2 linked regions of the Oreochromis niloticus genome follow. The protein of the gene in region 2 purifies or fractionates together with the protein of the main gene of each other region. This does not show direct contact. Links are inferred from orthologs where the notes say so. Each region holds a gene or a part of one and is shown on either strand. Other genes may lie near its edges. The genes, in order: nelfb and nelfa.

Region 1 (8,129 bases), on a different chromosome or scaffold from region 2:
GTCCTTTTTTCCCTGATGACCAGTCAAAAACCTAACTATTTTGAGCTTAGCATGATGCCAAAAAAAAAAACAACCAACCAACCAACCAAACAAACAAACAAACAAACAAAAAGAAACACCCGACAAAGCCACAAATACTCAGTATTACCAGTGAATGCTGGGGATTGGTGCTTGAAAAACTCAAATAAACAGTTACTGAATTTGTTGCAAGTGAATCTGAATTTGATTAAATCACTGATTTGCTGTAGCTCTGTCATAATGGTTGGTATCTGGGGAAATAATAAAACTGCCTTGGCATGTTCCCAAGCTGAAAATGTTCAAGATTGTTAAAGCTCTGATAAGATAGACTCCGTTTAATGCAGAAAGTTGAACTGGCAAATCTGGTCAAACTGACAAAAACAGAAACACAGGATATTTCTATTTTAATTATGTTATATTTTAGTTTACATTGTAACACCTCTGAAAACCTAAGGTATTACCTATGTTGTAACTTGACATTCTCCGCCCTATAAATCACACTTACTTCAGCACTGTTCATTCCTCCTCCAAATTTCTAGCTACTTTTTGGCTGCAGTCTTTTAATTTATCAGTGAAAGAATAACAATGATCTTCTCAATATAGGAAATAATAAACAAAGCATCATTACAAGGCAGCAAAGACTGGTGAAGCTATTGGAAGGAACATGAGGGGATGTACAAAGAAGTGGAAAAACTTGAGGGACAAATGTGTTTGCTCCAAAAAAAAAAAAAAAAAAAAAAAAAACTGAGGACAAAAAAAAGAGACCCAGGAGGGAAAAATGTTGGAGCATTTTATTTCAAAGATTCACCGCAGATGTGGACAAGATGATAAACTTTAACTTTTCTACTTTTACAATCATTTATTAAAATGTGTTTCTTATTTTACTACAGCCAGTCTCTTCATGACCTGGACATCAGTGAGATCTGCTCGGTGGATCCCTGCCAGTCAGTTTTAAACTGCAGGCAATCACTGGTTCAGTGTGTTTCACAGTCACTGGACTTCTTTAAGTTTCTTGAAGATGTTTTGTTCATGATTCTTTCATCCAAAAAGCTTCTTCAGTTTTCTGAAGTAGTTCCCTGAACTGAAGAGGCTTCTTGGATGAAAGGTGATCCTCAAGAAACTTTTATTTCCAAGCTCCTAGATTACCATGACCTGGGTGACTGAGAACCTACACAGACTCTTCTATGAAACAAACTACACATGCAACGGGCCTTATAAGACAGTGATTACATACTCTCGTGGACACTGCATGGATAGTGCTCATCTCTTTGACTGCACCAGACTATTACATCTGTGCCATTTTAAGGACAAGCGACATAGCTGGAATTTACAAATCAGCAGGGGCAGAAATGTGCAAAAGATGGAGTTAGCCACATCACCTGTTAGTTATCAATCCAACGTTCTGAACCACGCTGTTTAGTGCCATCGAGAGACACCGCATGCTCATATCTTACCAACTAGTCAATCACATGTAAAAGAAATCCTGCTTTATCCTCCATAGTTACTCTAATGGAACATGAATATCAGGCTGTATTAAATAAAACTGAAACTAGATACTGAGCCCATGAATCCCCCAGTAAAGTGTCTATTGAGGCCACAAATCAAAGAAGTTTAATGGTTGCTTTCCCATACATGTCTATACAACCAAAGGTATTGCCCCAAGGTGGCAATGTAAAAGAATGCAGGTTTAGATATGGTAGAGCCATTACTCTTAATCCCACTATACAATGTTCCTTCCTGTTAAAAACAAGTTTTTCCTTCCCACTGTTGCCATAAAGAGTGTCTGTGACATCCCTAATACTTAAGGAAGATTGACTTGACTACAAGTCTTTTTAAATATCTTTTTTTTTTTTTTTTTTTTTTTTTTTTTAAATGGGACTAAATCCTCTTAACCTCTTCTATGCAAAAATAATAACTAAATAAATAAAACAAAAATAAAAAATGCACAAATCACGACAGGGGCAGGAATCTGTTTTTTGCTGCATCTCCATGGGGCCCATTCAGTCTGGGTTATCTCCTGAGCACCGATATAAAACCGAAACGCCAAATAGTACGATTACTGGTTTCACTTTTCACATTTTCACATGACAAAAGTATGCCCATTTTTCATATACAGTCTATGGTTTTGTCCTCAAACTGTATTACCTATTTAAGACAATAAATAGCAGTTCAAACTCTCTAAAGCTCTAAGTTGTCGTCGACTTATATCACCTACTCTCAAATCAAATCAAATCACTTTTATTGTCACGTCACATGTGCAGGTACACTGGTACAGTACATGCGAATGAAATTCTTGTGTGCGAGCTTCACAAGCAACAGAGTTGTGCAAAAATACAATAACGTAAAACAAGCAAAATATAAGAATGGCTAAATCTGAAAGTAATAAATATATGTACAATATATAAGAGTATATGCATTACTGGATGTGTATACTAAATATGTTTTTCTACGTGTGTGTGTGTGTGTGTATACATATTTTACAAATTAAATAGAGTAAACAATAAAATAAAATATATAAAATATACAGAGGTTGGTAGTTGGAGGTAAAAAAAAAAAACAAACACTCCAAACACACCACAAACGAACACCACAACAGAACGGCACACGTTCTGTGCATTGTGAGATTACGCTCAAAGATTGTCTGCCATCTCCAATCCTCTCTCCTGCTTTCACAGATCTAGCGGGAGAGATCGGAATAAAGGGTGAGAAGGCGATGAATATCCTGCATTTTGATTAGTTTTAAACGCAGGATATTAGCTCAAAAATATGAACTTGAAGTGGAGAGCAAATTTCATTGACCATTTCTCCCACTTTCTCTTTTTGCAATCTGTGTTGTTTTGTTGTTGTTTATTGCTACAACAGTGATGAAAATAGCTTAGTAGGAAACAACGGAGAACGGTGACTAGCTTTGGATGGTTAAGAACATACGTTATCGTTTGTTTATCAATCCGGGAACGCTTATTTACCGTTAGTCGAAATGTACACTCTATCACTCGAGGCACTAAGCTGTTGGGTGTTACCTGAAACTGATCGATGGCTTTCAGTGGCTCTGTGCAGTTAGTGAGAGTTTCTTTAAGATCCTCTCCGTTGGATATACCAAGCTCAGGCAGCCCCGCGAACATTTTGCTTTCAGTTTAAGCATCAATTAAATGATCTAAGTCCAAATGATGTCTTCTGACGGGAGTTTAGTCAACAAAAGTAAGTTCCTTCTGCAGAAAACAACACATTCGCCTTTTTGAGAGCTTCCTGTGTTGCAACTTTGTAAACACTCCGCCAGAAACATCCGCGATGAAACGTTCCAGCGTGCTCTGCGGTAAAAGGGCGAGCATCAAGGGGTTCGATTGCAAGCTGCGGAGAAGCGCGAAGTCATAACGTACAAAGAGCTGATGTAAAACCGAGTGTTAAAAAAGTGTTTTACTGTCTCTGCTTTTCATACTGTGGTTTTTTTTTCGCGGTGAACTCAGCTGACGCTGTCTGCTCTATTTCAAACTCCCTTTGCTCCACCGTAAATTCGCCGTACTCACAAACTTCTCAATTGAAATACATGGGAGGATTCAATTGTGGCAAAGATCGTGGTAGAAGTATAATTACCTCGGAAAAATACATTTAAAGTTTTATTTAAAGTCTCATATAAAGCCATTTTAAAATGCTTAACTAGAGATCAAAAAGTACGTTTGCAGACTCATACAAAAAAGTTTGAACATATTCGAAAAGATTTACTCCATCAAAACAACTAACAACTTTTTTTTTTTAAATTTAAACATAACACATCAGTCGGTGGCACGGTGGTTAGCACTGTTGCCGCACAGCAAGAAGGTCCTGAGTTCAATTCCACCATCAGGCCAGGGTCTTTCTGTGTGGAGTTTGCATGTTCTCCCCGTGTTTGCGTGGGTTCCCTCCGGGCACTCCGGCTTCCTCCCACCGTCCAAAGACATGCAGCTTGTGGGGATAGGTTAATTGGATAATCGAAATTGTCACTAGGTGTGAATGATTGTCTGTCCCTGTGTGTTGGCCGTGGGACAGACTGGCGACCTGTCCAGGGTGTACCCCGCCTCTCGCCCTATGACAGCTGGGATAGGCTCCAGCGCCCCCCGCGACCCTGAAAAGGATAAGCGGAAGCGAATGGATGGATGGATGGATAACACATCAGTCTTCAAAAGCCTTCAGTTAGGCACATGGCTATTTTGAATGACACATTAGCTGTTAGTGGTGTCTTAGAGTATGTATGCCACAGTTCTATATTGAACCTTAAGTTGTCCCTGATTTGTTCAGAGATAGTATGAGTGTGTGATAGAAAATGCATTCATAGACTGCCTGAATGTGTGTGTGAATGGGTTATGTACTATAGCTTGTAGTAAAAGCTACTTGCAGTGCTCATTCAAACTAGAAAAGTGCTAAATAATGACAAGTTAATCACAAGTGGTATTGTATTGCACATTGAGTCTGGAACATTTAAAAAACAATCCCATTTATTTTGGATTTTGTGCACACTGACATGAGTAAGCTGAACATTTACTGAAATTTGTGAATCTAAAGCAAAACTTGTAAGCTTTACTTTAAAAATGATTTTCGCTACATAATATAAAAAGCCAAAATTAAAAAGGTGTTTACTGAAGGTTTTTTGCCTGAGAGAAATTTACTTCAACTTGGCTATCCTTGCTCTCAAACCATTCCTTCATTAGCCTTTGTTTTTCTGTAGACAAAGAGAAGGTATCCCAGTGCAAAGAAGATAAGGATGATGGAGAAGAAGAGGATGCCTTTCCAGGGCCCTATGGGCAGGGCCTTCATCACTACAGGATTTTCGGCTGGAACTAGATTGGTGAGGTTTAGCATGTAACCCAAAGCCCAGCCTACAGATGCTCCTCCGGCCTACAGAAACACAAGAAGAGGTGCAGTGATATCACATCATATTGTGGATTCTATCAGTTTCTAAATTCCAGCAAATCATTTCGTTTCACCTCTCACCTTTTTTTCAAAAGAAATAGAAGGAAGGAAAACCTCATCAAAATGGTAGCCCTGTGTTAAGAGCACCTGGACGAAATTGGAGACAGCACAGACATTCTTCATGTATTTCTTATCCTGCTTTGTCCTATTCGTCATCTATAAGTAAAAATACAATGTGTGAGGTTTTGTATTATGTTATTTAAAGCTCATCGGAATCAGAGAGATTTTATCAATCCCAGAGAGAAATTGAGTTGTCAAAGCCGGAAATATACAACAAACATCAAGCACTCATAAAAAACAAGTGCAGAAACAGAGATATTGATAGATATATAATAGATAATATATGTAGATATATGTCAACAGTCACTTTAGAGCCTTAGAGTAACATGGTGAGGATCAACACGTCTCAAAGTCTTTATGGACAGTACCTCAGAGATGCTCATGCTGCAGACGCGCTGGACAGCCTCTGCAGTTTGATTAGGAGACGTCATATCCATGTTGGTGAGGGTAGAGATGTATTTGTGAGTGAAGTAGAAAGCAGAGAATGCCTGTGGAGAAGAAAGAATAGTGCAATGGATGAAGGTTAAGTATCCCCCATCTGTTTTTGAAGACAGAATTAAAAATGTGACCTGTAACCACGAAGGAAGCATTAGTACAATCCATTAGGTCCTGATACAAATGCCTGTAATGCATTCCATTTTTAGTGTTTAGGAGTATTTTCAATCATCAATCAATCAATGTATGTGGGAGTGTGTGTGGGTGCGTGTGTGTGTGTGTGTGTGTGTGTAAAGAAGAAAGGATATCAGAAAGCAAAAATTAGTGCTCATTCAGTGAAGAGCATACATAACGTAGCAAATGAGTCTACGTTATGCTTCTATGCTTTTTTGCCTCAATATAGGATATTTTAGACAACATCTAAAAGCCTCTCACCATGAATCTTCCTCTCAAGCTGGGCTGAAAGACTCCATTAAAGGAGCACTTGGAGTATTTGCAATTCTCAAAGGAGAACATCTTCTTTACATTCTCTAAGCAGTTTTGGTAGTCTCCTGTGCCCACAACTTTTACATTCAGTTTCAGGTCAATCTTGTCTGGTTTGGAGTCCACAGTACACGGAGAATCAAAGACGTCCTTCCCCAGGATGACACTTTCGGTGAACTGCTTTGGATAGCAGGGGTGGAACACTGTGCTGTTTTGATAGTTATCCTTAAAGTTAGAAGATTAAAATTTTATTAGAAAACATTTTTTAATAATTTTTTTTACAAAGATCATTTCACCATATAAAAGCCATCCATAACACAGATACTGCATTGTTCTAAGGTTCCTCGTAGCAACAACTCTGATTTTCCTAAAACTGGTAAAGACTGGTAATTTAATTTGGTTAACAAGCTAGCAGTTCTCCTGTTCAATCTTTATGGCAAGCTTTCATCTCTCTCTTAGCAAGAATGTAACAATATGATCCCAAAATGTAACAAATGTGAACTTAATCTATTTAGTAAGTTTAATGGAGATGTGTTTCAAACATCCTTTTTGTTTAGTAGGACTGCAGCAAGACAATAACATGTTTACATATGCTGTTTTATATGGTCTTGCTATCTGAACTTCTCAGTTGTTAAGAAGATACAGAATCATTATAACAGGGATGATTACAATTGAAATGGTTGCCATTAACAGTTAGAGTCTTTTAACTTGTTGAACAGTACCTTAATGAGATGAGCCAGCAGTTTCCTTAAATACTGGTCTTGGCCGTAACACAGGAAGCTCTGGGTGTATAGTCTGTAGGTTTTTCCAAAAAGCTTCAACTCCATTGTGTTACTTTTATTCTCCACCTTTTCAGAGGTCTCAAAAGTAATCTGGGTAGATGCTCCTCCTAAATCCAAAGCTCCAATTGTCTCTCTGCCTGGATTCATCCAGTGACCTACAAAACCATACTGGGTAATAAAAAAGGACATGACGCCACATTGGAATTAGAATCACTTAGAATCAACCAATAACCAGTGTTGGGCAAGTTACTTTGAAAAAGTAATTAATTATAGTTACTAGTTACTTCTTCAAAAAAGTAACTGAGTTAGTAACTGAGTTACAAGATTCTAAAAGTAATTAATTACTTGAAAAGTAACTATTGCGTTACTTTAAAAAAATGTTTAACCCTGTGGGGTCCAGGGTAGAATTGGCCATTTTTCACTACTTTTGATTTTCCCTCTACATTTCACCTTTAAAAACTATTTACTTTGCCTTGTTTGGTATCATCCTTTTCAGCACAACCTCACATGTCTGAATTTACAGTTATGTTTTCATTTTGACATACTGTATTAACACAATTGATCTAAAATCAGACAAAAAACATAAAATCAGAGTAGAAAAAAAGTTATATTTTTTTACAACCACAAACATGTTTAATGAATCATATTTCATAACTTTAAATGCAAATATAAATTGTCAATTTTAAAATCATATGCACAAGTTTTGCAAACAACAAAGTTATTTGCAGCCATTTACCTTTTACCCCTTTTTTTAAATAACCATTTCAAACTATTTACAGAACAATCAGCTGTTCTACATTCAATAAGAGGCCACACAAATTATTTGTGCCACTCCAAATATTTCTGTCCACTATAAAGGAGAACATCACAGCCTGATTCCTGCAGGTCTGACAGCAGCAGGTGTATCACTCCTGTTCTCTACCTGGAGACAGCAGTAACCTGATTGTTCTGACACACAACACAAAACTATCCACAACACTACACACTAACTACGCAAGACAACACATTAACTACACACTCCAAACACGCCAAACGTCACAAATCTCTCACATCTCAAAACTCGCTCTCTCTCTTTTTCTGCTGTCTTTCTTTCTCTCTCTCTCGCCGTCACTCATAAAACTTCCCACTCTTCCTAAACAACCAAATGTCATGTTGCCATATCATTTTTTGATTGGTCGACATTTTTCCACCAACACAAAAGGGCAGGGGTTTTTTTTGTTTGTTTTTTTGTTTTGGTTTTTTGCTCATAAGCAGAGAGTGCTTGCTAGCGCTGTCCTTAGACAGTAAACGTGATGAAACTATTCAGGAAAAAAAACACGCGTATATATTGTTTATCATGACTCTGGTTTTACGTGGCCTATCAACACAATTTAAAAACTGGTATATATCACCTTGTTGCTTTGTCAT
Region 2 (7,355 bases):
TTTAATGGCAGCATTTCAGCTTTTGAATACACACATTAAAAAGAGACAAGGGGAAATTACAGTTTTTAAGACAATTTCTTTTATAGTTTCCTCAAACCTGATGACTTTAGGCACTTCTAGCTCACACCTGACACACATCACCTCGACATTTTACAAATTGTATGATAAATCGTCACTCTTTTACAGACAAAAAAAGTCCAGATTAAACAAACCCTCAGAGCGTGACTGAAATAATATAAAAGTATTCTGAATACTAGTTATTATCCCAGAGTATTTCCCATTTTTCCATCTTTTGAATTCAAACCTCCTCCATCTCTGGAAATCCAGCATGAATCAACATTTACATAACTGCAATTTCAAGACTTTAACTACTGGATACAAAGAAACCTGATTTTGTGCAGTGATGTTTATCAAAGAGAAGCGATCCAACATGTAACACGAGGAGGACGCCAGCTTCAACCAACCATTAAATGCAGTCCGGTTAATAGCCACATGACAGAGTTAAGGCTATAGACTCTGTCCACCTCCCTGCACTTATGGGTTCAGTGTTGCCAAAATAAACCCTGTTCCAAAATACTTTGCAAATGATATTTGTCACTGACTTTCCTCCATAGTCGATGCAAATGACAGTCAGTATAATTCAAGTCATCACCCATTAGAGCAACCTCACAATGATAACTATGTTTTTGCAAAAATAAACTCAAAATGCACTGTTCCAAATGATTATGCCGTTTCAAAACCTTTTATTGGTTGTAAAGAAATGAAAATTGGTCATTTGTTCAATATGCAGCATTCTGAGGTCATATTTACTGAAATCAAAAGCTGTTTCACTCAAAAACATCTCAACAGGCCAAGTTACATGTTAACATGGGACCCCTTCTTTGATAGAACCTTCGCAGTTCTTGCATCCATTGAACTTGAGTTCATAGATCTTTTCCTTTAGGATGCTCTAAGGTTCTCAATAGGGTCGAGGTCAGGGGGGGATGAGAACCACGCCATGAGTTTCTCCCCTTTTATGACCATAGCAGCCAATGCCACAGAGATATTGTTTCCAGCATGAGACACATTGTCATGTACCCTAGCCCTAACATCCTCTTCTGTCACACCAACCCTGTGCATAACCAAACACCCCACGATGCAATATCATAATTTTTAACATTTTTTAATTTGTTGAGTATTGCGTCAAAATATATTGTGATTTAGCACATTTCTTTAACTGCAAATTTTATCCTCAAATTTAAACTTTCATTATCAGTTGTATCCTACAAACAGCTGGCAGCAAGTAGCATTGCGCTCATTGACAAAGAGTCATTCAGACTGATGGCAGCATGTTGGCAATCTGTCTGTGTTTATAAGCTAGGCAGCACTTATTTGGAAACCTTGATCAGTCTCTCTAAGAGTGACTGGAGTCAGTCCAAGCAAGATTGGGACTGTCTGCAGAAAGGTGGCCTCCTATCAGGGGACCTGTGCAATCTCCTTGTGATCAAAAGTGGTCATGAGTGCAAGATCCTCAAGCTGTGAGCAACCACAAGTTATAATCTGTTGCATGCAATCACCAGGCAGACATCAATTATTTTTAAGCTGTAAGGAGGTAGCTCTCCTATTTTTACTCCTGTGACTGAGCCATTAGCTTGCTCTCAAACAGGACGCAGGATGCAGGCTGAATGTGTCCAGTGTTGGATGTTTTTTCAGTTGGACCAATTTAATGGAAGTTTGCTCAGCTAACGTTATCTCAGGATGGTGGTTAAAAAGAGCTGAAGGCATTTAACTACAAAATATTAATATTTGGTGGCCCTGTGTCTATGAAGTATCGCCTTTTTCTCCCTCCACACCTACTACATGTCCTCCTTCACTACATCCATGAATCTCGTCTGAGGTGTTTTCTTTTTCCTCTTGTCTGGCAGCTCCATTTTCAACATCCTTTGTCCAATAGATCCACTCTCCCTCCTCTGCACATGTCCAAACCATCTCAGCCTTGAACTCAATCGATTTCTTTACATTTCTGTCTAAATATTAACATTTTCAGCTCGGTCTTGTGTGTTTTTGTCAGAGCCACCTTTCTAAAACATTCATCATAGCAAGACTCGCTACCATCTAGTAAACCTTCCCTTTCACACTTGCTGCTCTTCTTCAAAACCACTTAATTAAAATAAATATTTGCATTAAAACAGCCAAGAGCTTCCGTTGTTTGCATACGGGAAATTACTCCTGAGCTTAGCCGCCAATTTTACTTAAACAACACACTTGAATGCTTGTTTTAAGAAACCCCATTAATAATTAGCTTAAAAATTTTGCATTTGTTAATGAACAGTCTGGCTATATAAGCCGCACAGATGACGGCTGTGTATCGTTTCCTGCGGGAGGAACAGGTGATCAGTGGGTCCGGGAGCTAGTACCGCCCTTCAGCCTAACGCCAGCTCTCAGCCGCCCATCCCACCACAATGTCCGTGCGAGCTCCGCTAGGCTAGCGTTGCCCGCTGTAGCCGGTAAACAACCGCTGGAAAAACAAATACGCGCAGGGGTAAAGTCAGCTCGGGAGTATCCTGTCGTTAGAGGGTAAAAGTGTAAATGTGTTTCGTGCATTGAAGCCTGGGTTTAAAAAAAGAAAAAAAAAAATCGGGAGCATGTAGAGGAAATAACGAGTTTGCCGCTTCTTCGGTTAGCCCTCGGATAAACATGGTAGCATAATGTTAGCTGGAAAGGTTTATTAACATTGTTAGGCTTTTGAAAATGCCACTAAACCGTCACAGTGACCTCGGTATTTTTTAAAATCTAGCGCAATTATCGGCTCGTTTCTCAGCCGTGAAACCGAGGTAACAACTTATCGTACCCTCCAGGCTAACAGCGAGCTAACCTACCTCGTCAACGGTCCTCCGCGGAAGGTGCAGCATCCCGAGCAGGAGTTTCAGCTTCACCGGCGGCGACAAGCTCGAAAAACACAGCCGTATGTTGTCGATAACCGACACGGTGAGGAGCGAAGCGATGCTCGGAGGCGTCCAGAGCTCGTCCGTGGATCCTAGTTTGTTGTGAAGCCACAGGCCGGTGTCGCTGTCCTTCATCGACGCCATCTTGGAAAAAGAAGTGTTTTGAGTTCGGGCATTTTAACAGGCTACCTAAGAAAACAGCAGTCAGGACCCCGCCCATAACCCGGGGTTGGGGGGGCAATTGTCACCGCAGAGCCGCGAGGAGAGCGGGTGAAATCCACCTTTAAGTGTAGAACTGTTACACACTGTGTGGTTAATAAAGTTTTAAGAAGGAAGGTGTAAACAAGGGCAGATGCGGGAAGTCTTTGTTACCTCATGTAATACAGTGCTACACATCTGCCGAGCAGAGAAACATCTGTATTGTCATAGTAACAGGTTATTTCTACACTACACTGGCAGCCACACTTCTCACTGGTCCCCGATATTTGCTATGCTGTTTTTACTGCATTTAAGCAGTCTGTTATTTTAAATCACAGCACATCCTACCCATTTAATCGATGTCATATGTTTGTTGTGCTTCACTTTCCCACCTATAGGATGAATAAAGTATATTATTATTATTATTATTATTATGTCCTCTTATCTTAAAATATGTCTTCTTCAGGCTGCGACCTTTAGGAGTCACCACAGCAGTTCACCTGCCACCGTATCCCTGATATCTTCCCCTGTCACACCAGTCCTCCCTCACTACATCCATGAATCTTCTCTGGGGCATTCCTCTTCAACATCCTTTGTCTAATATATCCACTATGCCTCCTCTGCACATGTATAAACCATCTCAACCTTGTTTCTCTAACTTTGTCTCCAAACTGCTGAACCTGAGCCATCCCTCTGATGGATTCATTTCATCATGAGTCCATCTTTTTGTCAGTGCCACTGTTCAAACCACACATCGTAGCAGGTCTCACAACCATCTTGTAAACTTTCTCATTCACTCTTGCTGCTATCCTTTCACTTGTCTCCACCCACTCCATCACGCCTGCATTCTCTTCTTCACCCCTCTCGTGCACTTGTCTTTAGCTTTAGGTGGTTGACTCCAGGTATTTAAACTCATCCACCTTCAATTTCTATAAATGTTCAGCTCTCCACATGTTTCCCTCTCATTCACACACATGTATTCCTCTTCTCCCCTGTGCATACTTCCACCTGCTCCACACTCTCTCCATGGATCACAATGTTATCTGCAAACATCATAGTCCACAGAGACTCCTGCCTGACCTCATCTGTCAGCCCGGTAGTCACCACTGCAAACAAGAAGGGGCTCAGAGTCCATCCCTCATGTAATCCCTCTCCCACCTTGAACTCATCCGTCACTCCTACTCCACACCCACCACTCTGTCATCATTCATGTCCTGTACACTTTCTTTAGATCCACAAAGACATCTTAAATGAGCTTGCTTCACTAATTCGTGCTGTGTACAAGAATTATATAGTCAATCATTATTTGCTCTTACTTATTACCTGGGATATTAATTGGATATGTATCTATATCTTTACACTGTATAGTCGCCTCATTTAATGCCAGACTATAAACATGTAAGTGTCAAAAACATGAAGATTCAGTGTGCTGCAGTCTGACTAACTGTTTCAGTTTAGATTTATATTAATGTAAAAATAGGTCAATGGAAATACACAATTTTAAATATTGGAATTATAGCTGAAACTGTGCATGTATGTATATACTGCACTCAATTAACGGGATAAAATGCAGTATTGATCTCTAAAATTTAGGTAATCAAATGAGGTATCTTTAATAATAATAACTATACTGCTTTTTACATTGCGTTTTTAAGTAAATATTGCTCTGGCTCTCTCTCTCTCTGTTATCCTGATAATAAATGCATGACCTATCCATCAATAAACTCTACGGGTAAACTGCCCATCAAGGCTTTTATTTCTTTAAGTGCTGTCACCGGAAGTCTCGTTTCCGAGGCCCCCCGAAGAAAATTTCAGCCAACCAACACGCATGCGCACTAATTTAATCTCCATACAACAGTGCTCGGTGGGCATCTTGCGCTCGTCTGGTGATCTGCAAACCATCATCGGCCGATTGACGGTAGGTTACCGTGCAGGTGGTCAGATAAGCGGTAATTACTCTGTGCGGGCTGAGCTTTTAAACACATACAAACATTTACTGGTTGGAAACTGGAGCATTATCTGAACAAAGCCCATCATTTTCCCCCCTCATTTGATTGGCTGACGGCCGTGTAGGACATTTTCTGCCCTTTAATTTATACATTTTGCCTAATTGTACTCTCCAGATCAGAGGTGAGTAAGTGATCGCACCGTCGCCATGGCATCCAGCGGGTATGTGCAGGCAGTGGTGCTGCTGCTGGCGCTGCAGCTCGTCTGTGTCGGGGCAGCTGATGCGGATCATGAGACGGGGACTGTCATCCCTGCCGAAAGTAGGTGGATTTAAAAATTAGATTAATTTTTTCCCTCCGCCTGTTGAGTGCAAGTTTTGAGATGTTTAGCGAGAATGTGTCCGCCACGGTGATCTTTCCACAGTCTAATGACTGCAGGTCTCAAAGGGGTGCTGTTGAGGGAATTGTAGGTCATCTTAATTAATGTATGCTTGGATCATGAAACTGGGCCTCCACTGCTGCTTAAAGGCACACATACCGAGCAGGTTAGAAGGAAAATATCCATAAGGTTATTTATTGTGTGACTTCATGAATGCTCAGGTAGAAAAGCTTGATTATGTTGTTTGTAAATTAAAAGCTAGATGAGAAAAACATCTAGATGAACACTTACACAAAGCTAAATTCTGTATATTTGTTTAAAAGAAATCACACATTTTCTTCAAATAAATTATCAATTCAAAGATGACAAATCACAGCACTCAGTGGCTTTCTGCTAGAGACTAATCAGTCTCATTAATATGGTTTATGGTGCCTTTATGTAAATGATGACTCTGGGTCAGGTCACTGATTCTCTACTTCTACTCAATACATTGTATAGTTTATGTCTGCAGCCACAAGAAGACGCCAAATCAGCATTAAATTGGAGTCTAATTTGATGCTTTTCAGTCATGCACATTTACAAAAAAAATTCAGGCTCAAAATGTGAAAATCCGTGAGCGTGTGTGTTCTGTTGTGAAAAAAAGCAAAATTCACAGTCATTTAGAGGTCATTGAATTGCATTCACATTAATCGTATGAGTGATACATTCACCTCATAAATCACGGCACGCTCCTCCCCCCTACATAATCTGCATTTATAAGCATCGGTGATACTGGCTCTGTACTAACTTGGTATCTCACACCGCTGATCTAAACCCATGTCTTTGTTTCTGAACTCATTTCTGCTGTTTCCAGGTCGCCCATGTGTGGACTGTCATGCCTTTGAGTTTATGCAGAGGGCGCTGCAAGATCTAAAGAAGACCGCTTTCAACCTAGATGCCCGGGTAAGTGGAAGCTCTCCTTTCTAGTTTCCTTTTCATTCTAGAGACTACTGCAGAGATTCATGCACCAGCTGATGTATTTCATAAAATAACTGATCTTCATGAGCCTTTTTGGGGGGGTGGCGACTGCTTCTATCAGTTCCCATATTGTAATATACTAAATGTGACATTATGTGGTACGCTTTAGTATATGTTAATGTCTACGTCTGCATTTTAGCGCAGGGTTAGTCATTTTTCATTTATTTCCTGGTTTTTAGATATGAAAATTGTGGAGCGCAGCTTTTAGAGATCGCTGTGCTTCATTTTCCAAACGACCTCAGACACCCACACACTCCCATCACTGTGCCAAAGAGCAGTCATAATACCTGTGCCTATAAATTCCTGTGCTGCAAAGAATAGGGATTTTTTTTGTCGCTACAGTTTTGATTGTTGTGAAATATTTTTGGAACTTGTACATTTTACACTTTAACTCCAAGCACCCCGAGCTTACGTATGAATTGTAGTGCTGATTTCAGTTCAGGGCACACATACCTGCTTTTGGATCAGCTGATATGACTTTTATTCTCTGTTTATATAGTTTGACCCAAGAAATGAAGGTTAATGCAACTGAGAACAATCGCTGCACCCCTCGATTACTCTGACAGACAAGGAGATAAGTTAGATCCAGCGGCTGTGACCCAAACAGCATGGCCAATTGCCAGGAAGGGGGGGTAAATGGATTGTTCCAAATGGAAATGAAGGGAAAGGTCTAGGAGGAGAGCCTAAAGCTGAGTTGAAGGTGGAGGAAGGTAGAGGCTGGAGACAGAGAGGAGGTGTAAGATGTGCAGAGCTGTGCTCAACTTAGTGAACAGTCTACAATCAGGCAGCGTGCTGGAGCTGGTACGATTTATTTATGGCAGGAAGTGCTGAGCGGCAGCTGGTGACCCGACATCCCACGCACCTCACTCCACTCCTGTAGTCAAACACAGG

Evidence for each region.
Region 1: the proteins of nelfa (region 2) and nelfb purify together in Homo sapiens (affinity purification with mass spectrometry; 8 studies listed by BioGRID and IntAct, counting the BioPlex papers as one, with this or other methods). This does not show direct contact. The link is inferred for Oreochromis niloticus from reciprocal best matches to the Homo sapiens genes NELFA and NELFB.

The regions. Positions count from the first base shown.
Region 1 is NC_031977.2:1,194,038-1,202,166, forward strand, and holds the start of nelfb (negative elongation factor B), read right to left. Parts: upstream 3,179-8,129; 5' UTR 3,141-3,178; coding exon 3,039-3,140; exon of another isoform or gene 2,727-3,038; intron 1-2,726. Other genes in the region: ectonucleoside triphosphate diphosphohydrolase 2, read right to left, coding at 4,681-4,887, 4,984-5,118, 5,391-5,510, 5,893-6,165, 6,663-6,890. UniProt on the Homo sapiens protein: Essential component of the NELF complex, a complex that negatively regulates the elongation of transcription by RNA polymerase II.
Region 2 is NC_031967.2:22,302,171-22,309,525, reverse strand, and holds the start of nelfa (negative elongation factor A), read right to left. Parts: upstream 3,188-7,355; 5' UTR 3,069-3,187; coding exon 2,859-3,068; exon of another isoform or gene 2,838-2,858; intron 2,487-2,837; exon of another isoform or gene 1,931-2,486; intron 1-1,930. Other genes in the region: nicol1 (NELL2-interacting cell ontogeny regulator 1), read left to right, coding at 5,278-5,389, 6,301-6,389. UniProt on the Homo sapiens protein: Essential component of the NELF complex, a complex that negatively regulates the elongation of transcription by RNA polymerase II.